3 linked regions of the Arabidopsis thaliana genome follow. The protein of the gene in region 2 purifies or fractionates together with the protein of the main gene of each other region. This does not show direct contact. Each region holds a gene or a part of one and is shown on either strand. Other genes may lie near its edges. The genes, in order: AT2G43460, AT2G32220 and AT3G45930.

Region 1 (3,762 bases), 4.4 Mb from region 2:
GATGATTTGTGTGCAAACTAATCTGATTTTTGAATTTTTTCAACTCTGAAGCAATAAATTTGACTTTTAAAGGCGTTTGGGCCCATTACGGAAACAACAAGTAATTAACAAGAGAACAGAGAACCGCATAGAGAGAAAATGTTAAGATCAAGGAAGATTCACCAAAGGCCAACAAATATATATACCAAAAAGCCCAAGCTCCAATTGGGCCTGGTCCCCATGGATTTGATTGTTTCGAATAACAACAACACCTCAAGCATGATACTGCAAATTTGGTGCTATCATGAGGTTTTTACATGTTTTGAGACTATTATGCTATAATTCAAATGATATGTCGAAAAGTATATAACCTAAAATCGTAGTTAGTGCTAAGATCAAGGAGTAATTTGGTTATGATTCATTTAATGAATGTGATTGTTATTATAAATGATGGAGAAGGTACCAACTCTCAAGTCTGAAAATAAAAATCCAAATTGAATCCAGAGTTGAGAACGTATTTGGTTTTTCAAACTGAATTAAATCCAAAACACACTCAAACTCGAAAAGTCTCAACATAAATTTAACGACACAAAATAAACTCTCCTAAGGAAATTATAAAATGATGCAAAGGATTCGTCACCAAAGGAACTCCAATCTGCAGAAGAACTTTGCTTCATCTTCAAAGGTCTTGTACACTCAAACCTGAAAAAGTGCAACATAGTCCACACCTCAGAACACGCGTACAACAGATATGAGAATGAAGATACTTTTCAAAAACATAGTAACATACTAAAGCCAAAGCAAAGCTGGGTTTAGCAATCAAATGCCAAACTCAGAAAAATTTACAACGGAAATTGTGTGATGAAGAAGCTTACTTTAACGTACATAAATACTTAGCAAAATTCAAACAATGAAACTCAAGGCACAGCTATATTTAAAGTCCATATAACATAATGAATCCAATAATGTTGAATGTTGCAATACACACGCAATGTAATTAAGCAAAGACAGGTTGTTTCGAACCCATATGCCAAACTCAAATTTCATCAAGGTTTTAAAATGATCTAAAGTGTGAGAATTTATGCAGTGTAGTAGAGAACAATGTAAATTGAGCAGAGTTAAGAAGAATAAAAAACCTGGAGGAAGAGACTGCTTAAGCTTGTCGGCTTTCTCTTGGTCAAAGACGCAGAGCGTGTAGAGGTACCTCGAGCATCTGACCTTAAACTTGACAATATCCTTGCTTCTCTTGATCTTCACAGATCGTGCATCTTTCCTTCTAGCTGTCAGAAGGAAGTCCTTGATCTCGTGGATTTGCTTAGGCTGCAAACATTAATCAAATTAATCAATCAAAATTCAATACAAGATTCAATAATCCCAACCAATCAAAAGTTAATCACATGATAAGCAGACACGAGCTCAGCACATCAAACACATTAAGCAAACTCTGACCTAGGTTTTTGGTTAATTCACTAAAACCTACACGTTTCACTATATCCTAAACAAAGTAAGAAGCAATAATCAAAGCTGAAAATGATACAAAAATCTACATTTTTTGAGAAAACTCTTAAGATACAGGAACAGCTCTACTACACTATGAATGATTGCAAACGAGCTATGAAAACCAAATCATAAGCATCCATGACGGCGATATGAAACGAAATCGAAAGACCGAGAAATATTGTACCATTCTCGAATCTGTTGGTTGAAACTAGCCGCCGTCCACAGAGAGAGTCGAGCGAATTCGCCGTCGCGAGGATATAAAGAGATCTCTTAAAAACTTTGTATCAAGAAGCCCTAATTCGTAAACCTGAAATTCCATATTTACCCTCTGGACGATTTATCAAACAATGGGCTTTAAGGCCCAATCATATATCGCTTTAATGTCCCTTCACAGTTTTGCCCAATTTACAGTTTGTCTTAACACTTTGGTCCTCATATTTTCTTTTCATACCCTAATCATAACAAGATCAACCACAAAATCCTTCTTAGAAAAAAAAAAAATTTGATTTTTTTTGTCACAAGAAAAGAAGCGTTACAAATTTACACTTGTTGAAAGAAAAAACGATTCAACTACAAGAGAAAGTTCACAAAGTCCTAAAGACACAGAGATGTTTACAGGTGCGGTCTTAATGCTTCCAGGCCATGGAGTGACCATCCTCCATGTAAGGCTCAAGAAATCCAATGAACTGCCAATAAAAATAAACAGCAACAAAACAATTGATGATCAGACACGTCTGAAAGATACATACTTCAAGTCTCAAAATATACATACTTTGGTTCCATCTCGAGACCAACGTGCTCCATAGCCTTGAGCTACTCTTATCTCGAACACTTCACCATGTGGTGGAACGATATGTATGTTCATCCAACAACAATTGCCAATGAACCGATTGATTATGTCCATTGCACGCTCATTTTTATCTGAATCTGAGAAAAGGAAGAGGAAGACTCAATTATGGAAATGCATCAGTGTCCTGCAAAAATTTGTTACTTACCAGTTCCCTGAAGAACACCCCAAAATCCATCGCTACTTCGATCAACATGCTTGGCTAATGCTCTAGCTCCATGGCTCAATCTACAACCTTTTATCTCAACAATAGGAAAAAAGAAAGATTCTAAATTTGATCTCACACAACACAGCTTAACCATTCCCCAAAAGATTCACTACGATGTCTCTCGAACTATATCTTAGTTTTTGTGGTACCTTTGGCTTATATGGAAGCATGAATGAAGAGAGTAGCATCGATCTAGGAGGAGGCAGAGCATGAAAAATGGATCCAGTTGTGTGAGATAGACCGAGAAGGTTTTGCACGCCAGTGTAACTCAAGCCCTGCCATTTAAATGATGTTTTTGTAAGAAACATTGAATAATAAGAATCATAAATCACAAGGAGAAGGCTGAGAAAAACTTGAACTCACAGACAGTATGTGAGCCAAAGCAACACAAGGCTGAGCAACTGATTTACTAAGATGGATTGCCACAACACCATTGAAATTCTCTTGATCCGTATCATATAACTTCCTAAACATTTGCATACCTAAAAAAATTTGAAATCTTTGAAACAGAAGTTAATGGCTAAGGATCAGACAAAGAAAAAAGCTTACCTTCTTCCACTGTTTTAGTGCCAGGAAACACTTTCTCTGAACTCTCGGCTTTCAACAGCTCGTAAAAGGATGCATATTGGTGAAGTTCCTATATATCAACATTTAAGAGAATCAATCACAAGAAATCGTTTGCAGGAACACAAAAGCATGATGTCGGCAAATATATCTCACCAGAACTTCAAACATTAGACATTTATTTATCATAACCATTGAACCTCCTCTCCGAATTCTGAGGAAACCAAACAACATTTGTGAACACAAGAGACACAGAAGTAATCCAGCTCAATAACTTTTCACTTCTCCTACCTATCATACTCTTCTTCAAAACACCTTGCTTCAACTGTTTTGATGCCATCTAATATATCCATTTAAATTAAGCAACCCAAAAATCTGATCAAGAACTCTTACCACTTGATATTGACATTGCCAAGCTAAAAAGAGGAAGTTTTAACCTTTCATGAGGGAGAATAAGGGCTCTTGAACTTGAAGCTCGGAAAATACATCCTTCAAGGCCTGTTAGAATATTGCAAAGTGAACAAAACTTTTAACAATCAAAAGCAAACCAAAAGCTAAGCATCGATGACTCTGATTACCCCAGTACCAATGTTGCCTTTTGAAGTATAATCGACTATGACTCACTCACATTGACTAACTCAGAACCCTTTTGATTTATCAGCTT
Region 2 (2,976 bases):
TTAATTATTTATTACTACTTTTTTTATTTTATTACAACTTAGTTTGTAATAGTAAAATTTATTCTACTTTGTGCCCAAAACTGTCAATTGTTGTTCATTTAAATTTCTGGAATTAGATTTAGATACGCTAAATTAAATCACATTTTGCGTTTATATTCCCACCTAATTTGAAACCAGCAATTATTCTTCTTCATAAGAAAACTTTCATGTGCTCTCTCGAAAATAAAGTTTTACTCTAATAACAACACGCACTTTGGACGAGATAAAGCGATTCAAGTAAAATTATTATGGTTCAAACTATTATCTAAGATCCGTTTGTGTAAAACATAACTTCTAATAACATATATATTCTGATCTACTTTTGTTAGTTTTTATTAGTTAATATAAGCGTTAATTATTGTTCTCTCTTTTGCTTAACATGTAAATATTCCCATGGAGAAAGAAGTACACTTTTTGCTTTGAGAAAGAATAAAAAAACTCTTTATTATTACTAAATCAAGAAAAATATAAAACCATGCTGCATTTATCATCATTTTACATATTCTATATATAAGGTTCTCTAATTCGTATACTTTTGTAAATAGAGAACAACGAATTAAAAGACCAAATCGATAGCATCTTACCTTTTTGTTGATATTTATTAAGAGAAAAAATCAACACATTGTTATTCTTCAAGAGAATAAATTTCTGGAGACTTAGCAGTTAATGCAATCTGACCTCACGCGTTTTTTTTTTTTGACCTCACGCGGTTTTACTAAACCGACCTTCGTTTACTTCCCTTACCTCTCTATATATATATCTCTATCTTCATTTGCATATTTCAATTCATTTCATAATCATACACCTCTCTACATTTGTTACTACTTTCTTCTAACTTGTTTTCAAAGAGAAATCACAATCTATCTGTTCCAAGATGAGTCAATACAGCCAAAACCAATCTTCAGGTTTGTATTCTTTTCTTCGTACTAATTTAGCATCAGACCATATGTTTAGTCAATATTCTCATGGTTATAATCATATTTGCAGTTTCATAGTAGTAAGTACTTTTTTAAATGGTAATAAGACTAATGTGAAATATGAATAACTTATAGGAGCTTATCCTACGCCGCCAGTGTCTACCGGCCCTTACGTGGCACCGCCACCGCTAGGTTACCCAACGAACGACACAAGTCATGCCACGGTGGCAACGGTGGAGACAAAGTCCAAGGGTGATGGATTCTTAAAAGGCTGGTTAGTCTTCTTTTTCTAGTATAAACCAGGCATGCACGTTTGGTTAACTATCAAACCGGTTCGGTTATCGTGTGTTGCATTGATTAATTTGTTTTCTTTCATTTTTTGAATGCAGTCTTGCGGCCATGTGTTGTTGTTGTGTCCTCGACGCATGCTTCTGAAGACTTAGATGGTTTATTTTGATTATCTTTGTATTTTGCTTTACCAAAATGATTCGACTAGGTTTATGACATTTGGTACTTCTATTTGTTAATTCATTTCTATATCACTCTTTCTTTTGCATTGTGTAATTTTATAAATTCTTAATATATCGTTTGTTTTCTCTTAGACATCTTCTAAACCACGCTAGATTCACATTTTTGACTTTATTACCGGTTAGTCAACGTGGACTTAAAATCAATTTAATAACACTATATAAGCCAAAGTTATAAACAATTAAAACTCTTGGGGTTAGAATGCAAATAATGAACAAATCGATGCGTATAAATATCTCCCGATAAAGCCCTAGAATCCAAGGAAGCGCCGAGAGAAAGACAGAGAAGAGAGTGACAATGGTGAAATGTATGAAGCCAGGAAAAGCCGTGATCCTTTTACAAGGACGATACACCGGTAAAAAGGCGGTGATCGTGAAATCCTTCGATGACGGTACCGTTGAGAAGAAGTACGGTCACTGTCTCGTCGCCGGATTGAAGAAGTACCCAAGCAAAGTCATTCGCAAGGATTCGGCAAAGAAGACGGCTAAGAAATCGCGCGTGAAATGCTTCTTCAAGGTCATCAATTACCAGCACGTGATGCCTACGCGCTACACTCTTGATTTGGATCTGAAGAACGTTGTCTCCGCCGACGCGATCTCGTCCAAGGATAAGAAAGTGACGGCTCTTAAGGAAGCGAAGGCGAAGTTTGAAGAGAGGTTTAAGACTGGCAAGAACAGATGGTTCTTCACCAAGCTTAGGTTTTGAATTCTACAGTTTTTAATTTTAGTTTTAAAGTTTCAATTTTTATCTACCATGAATTGTTTTTGCTTCTGGTTTAGCTCAAGGTTATGTTTTGTTCTAAATTTCAGTAATATATATTCAATTTTGATGGTTAAAGTTTTAATCTTTCTAGTAACTCTTCATTGTGAGACATTTCTTTCAATCTTGTGGTTAATGAAACACAAATTTATTAAGAAATGAAGAATCAATGTCAGATGATACAACAAGGATTAAAAAAATTCAAGGTGTTTTGGATCTTTTTGCGCATAACCATTGCCTTGATGTTTGGAGATCATCTTCTACGCTCATTGGTACATGCCAGGTTCCATCTTCAGACTCCTGCATCATTCATCAATCAATCATCATCATTAATGCAAAATGCATACGAAAACATTGAGATGGACATAGAAATGTGAGTGTTGACCTGTATAACAATGGAGTATGGAGGTGGCATATTAAGTTTGAGTCCATCTTCTCTAGTGACAGAGATCCGAACCTGCAAACATTGAATCCAGTATCAATCAAAAGCTTATGTATATACATTACATAGACTCTTATATTATATGTTACCTGATGCTTCTCTTTCCACCTTGGGAAGAAACTATTTCCAAGTAACTGGAAGAGATGGTCTCTCATCTCATCGTTTGTTACTAACAAACATTTGCAACTTACCGCAGCGTAAAGCCAATACCTAGAACAATTTGATTTCACATAAGAAATGGTTGTCTTTTTTGGATTATTCATGGTCAATGTAATTCATAGACCCAGAAAA
Region 3 (3,356 bases), on a different chromosome or scaffold from region 2:
ATATAATTTTTGAATAGTTTAGTTGTTTTGGATATTTAGGTCCAAAATTAATTGACATATTTAGATTTATAATTATAATCCTAGATAATTAGATAATATTACGATTAAATATAATTAATATTTTGGATATTAAATTAATGTTTGGGTTTTTGAATACTCTTTTTGGGTAACGGGTAATTTCTGGACCAGTCGGATATCCACGGGTTTACTAAAACTCTACCCAATAAGGAATTTCCTAAAATTTTAACCCGCCCTAACCCGGTTTTTTGGTTCGGATATTGGGTTGGTTATCGGATCCGTTTTTTCGTCAGCTCTATCAAAGATAATCTAATATAGGCCCCAATTAGGTCCACAAATATAACCAAAATACTATACAAAGACGAATTCTAAGTTAGGCCAAAAATTAGATCATCTAATACAAAGAAAACATGTTTCTTACCAAAACAACTTGTATAAAATTTTTACACATTTACTTAAAACTACATATGTTGTATTTATTATAAAAATAATATTTTTAAACAAAGTCAATCCAATGCAGCATTATATGCAAATAGTAAAAACATTGAAAAATATTATGATATCACTTTTATATTATACTATTTTTTATGTAATTCAAACAAAATATACAATTTAATTTATACAATATTAATGCCCGTACTGTATGATCTAGTTACATTTATATTTTAAAATGCTGTACATGAAATTTTAGTACATATAAGAAGTCGATGCTTTGTCACCAATCGAAACCCAGCAATGGTTTAATACTCTTTTTAAGTTTAATTATATTATAGTAATTAGTTCAATATCCTCCCATATAAATCATGACTTCATCTTGATCTAAACTTGATAATAAAAATCTTTTGATATGTAGGAAACATGGTGGCTCTGTTTTAAATTGGGATACCAGATTGCAAATAGCTAGCGAAGCTGCATTAGGATTATAATACTTGCATACTAGATGCAAACCAGCAATGGTGCATAGAGATGTCAAAAGTATAAATATATTATTGGATGAAGAGTTCAAGGCCAAAATTTCGGATTTTGGACTCTCTAGATCGTTTCAAGTTGGAGGCGATCAACCTCAAGTTTCAACAGTTGTTGTTGGTACTCTAGGATACCTTGATCCCGAGTAAGCATTTTAATCATTTTGCATCATGGTCTAAATATGTTACATTTGTTTCAAGTGGTTAGAGAATTGTAGATTAAATATGAATCACACTCCATTTTCTTGCCTTTACAGATATTACTTAACAAGTGAGTTATCCGAGAAGAGTGATGTCTACAGTTTCGGGATCTTGTTACTAGAGATTATCACAAACCAACGAGTGATTGATCAAACCCGTGAAAACCCTAACATAGCAGAATGGGTTACATTTGTGATCAAGAAAGGAGATACTAGTCAAATTGTGGATCCTAAACTTCACGGAAACTATGACACCCACTCTGTCTGGAGAGCTCTTGAAGTAGCAATGTCATGCGCAAATCCTTCTTCAGTCAAACGACCAAACATGTCTCAAGTAATCATCAATCTTAAAGAGTGTCTTGCATCTGAAAACACGAGGATAAGTAGGAATAATCAAAACATGGACTCTGGTCATAGCTCGGATCAGCTTAATGTGACTGTGACCTTTGATACTGATGTGAAGCCTAAGGCAAGATAGTATATACGTGGATCTTCTCTAATGTGACATAAACCAAACCTTTCGATGTATAACTTTATGTTATTAGTTAACCATTGTGAAATAATTTTGTTTTATTTACTTGTGTTAAATATGAATATTACCCGTTCGTAATATATATATGTGAAATGTTATAACGAAATTTTTTGTTCTATGATGATTTAATTTCGTTAGTAACGGTGAAAAGAATTTGGCGCTATATTCCTCAATCCGTGGCGCTTATTTGAAAATTTCATAAACTTTCACTTACAGGCATCACGGGGATCGACAATATTAAGCGTCGATAAAATTAAATCAACGGCTAATAAGTAATCTCATTGTTCACCCGGATCGTTATCTGCAACCGTTAGATCTAAAAACACATCTGATGGTTCAAATCAATTAGATCCATCTTGTATATAAATGACATCTCCTCTTAACAAAATTCTCAAATCATCTCAATCTCAATTAAATCTTCAAATCGAAAAATTTCCGAAGAAAAATTCAAGTTCCTTTAGAAAATGTCAGGTCGTGGAAAGGGAGGCAAAGGTTTGGGCAAAGGTGGAGCCAAACGTCATAGGAAGGTTCTGAGAGACAACATCCAAGGAATCACTAAACCGGCGATTCGGAGATTGGCTCGTAGAGGTGGTGTTAAACGTATTAGTGGTCTGATCTACGAAGAGACACGTGGCGTTCTCAAGATCTTTTTGGAGAATGTTATCCGTGACGCCGTTACTTACACTGAGCACGCTCGGAGGAAGACGGTGACTGCTATGGATGTTGTTTATGCTCTTAAGAGACAAGGAAGAACTCTCTACGGATTCGGCGGCTAGGGTTTTTGATTGTTGTTTTTTGTGTTTCTACGTTTATTAGGATGTTAATTTTCAGGATTTGGTGTTAACTTCGAAAAAATTAAAGAATTGAAGGTTGTTGTTGCAATTTCGTGATTGTTGAAGGTGTTGTTGCAAACTTTTAGTAATTTCAGTTTCTCGATGCTTGTTTAGTATCCTTTGAACACGACGCAATATCAAAATTAGTGAATCTCACAAGTACAAATGTCTTGGTCAGAAATAATAACCGGATCGGTTTAGATCGGGTTAGTATCAAATTGGGTTTGCCGTGAACCCCAACCAAATTAAACCCCTATGTCTTTGGTCCATTTGTTGGAGAATAATATGTATTTTAATACTTGATCACAATAGTGTTACACTAACAAAAGACATGGCCTCAAGAAGACTTGGAAGACACATAAAAACGTAGCACCCAAGAAACAACCAAAGGAACAACTATATGTATAATTGTTGTGATTCTCACATTCTCTCTATCTCTTGTTCTGTTTTTGGTTTACTTGTTCTAGAGAGAAAGAACAAGAACACATTTACTTTTAAGACTACATTGTTAATATCTTGGATAATCTTACACAACATAAACACACACATACATATAGTGGTTTTTCTCCACTTGCTACACTACACACACTTAGACTCTAGACCACATCACTGTCCTAAGACTTACATCAGCCACTCTACTATGTTGGAACTCCTAACTCCTTAATTCACTCTTACACAACATGACTCTATCTTAGACTAACAAGTAACAACACAACACTTATTCGTTATGTTGGACCTTAACTAGACAACAACAAAACACTTATTCGTATGGGCCTTATCTCATCACTTATGGCCCAACACACAAAAC

The links.
Region 1: the proteins of AT2G32220 (region 2) and AT2G43460 fractionate together in Arabidopsis thaliana (co-fractionation; one large-scale study listed by BioGRID). This does not show direct contact.
Region 3: the proteins of AT2G32220 (region 2) and AT3G45930 fractionate together in Arabidopsis thaliana (co-fractionation; one large-scale study listed by BioGRID). This does not show direct contact.

What each region holds. Positions count from the first base shown.
Region 1 is NC_003071.7:18,045,627-18,049,388, forward strand, and holds AT2G43460 (Ribosomal L38e protein family), read right to left. Parts: upstream 1,776-3,762; 5' UTR 1,667-1,775; coding exon 1,664-1,666; intron 1,300-1,663; coding exon 1,116-1,299; intron 682-1,115; coding exon 659-681; 3' UTR 339-658; downstream 1-338. Other genes in the region: AT2G43465 (RNA-binding ASCH domain protein), read right to left, coding at 2,106-2,165, 2,252-2,406, 2,475-2,568, 2,684-2,809, 2,898-3,016, 3,084-3,171, 3,255-3,312, 3,390-3,438 and 2 more.
Region 2 is NC_003071.7:13,677,164-13,680,139, forward strand, and holds AT2G32220 (Ribosomal L27e protein family), read left to right. Parts: upstream 1-1,746; 5' UTR 1,747-1,781; coding exon 1,782-2,189; 3' UTR 2,190-2,360; downstream 2,361-2,976. Other genes in the region: AT2G32210 (cysteine-rich/transmembrane domain A-like protein), read left to right, coding at 914-944, 1,092-1,230, 1,346-1,391; PRORP1 (proteinaceous RNase P 1), read right to left, coding at 2,445-2,543, 2,629-2,700, 2,775-2,895.
Region 3 is NC_003074.8:16,881,211-16,884,566, forward strand, and holds AT3G45930 (Histone superfamily protein), read left to right. Parts: upstream 1-2,105; 5' UTR 2,106-2,179; coding exon 2,180-2,491; 3' UTR 2,492-2,799; downstream 2,800-3,356. Other genes in the region: AT3G45920 (Protein kinase superfamily protein), read left to right, coding at 972-1,129, 1,241-1,661. UniProt on the Arabidopsis thaliana protein: Core component of nucleosome. Nucleosomes wrap and compact DNA into chromatin, limiting DNA accessibility to the cellular machineries which require DNA as a template.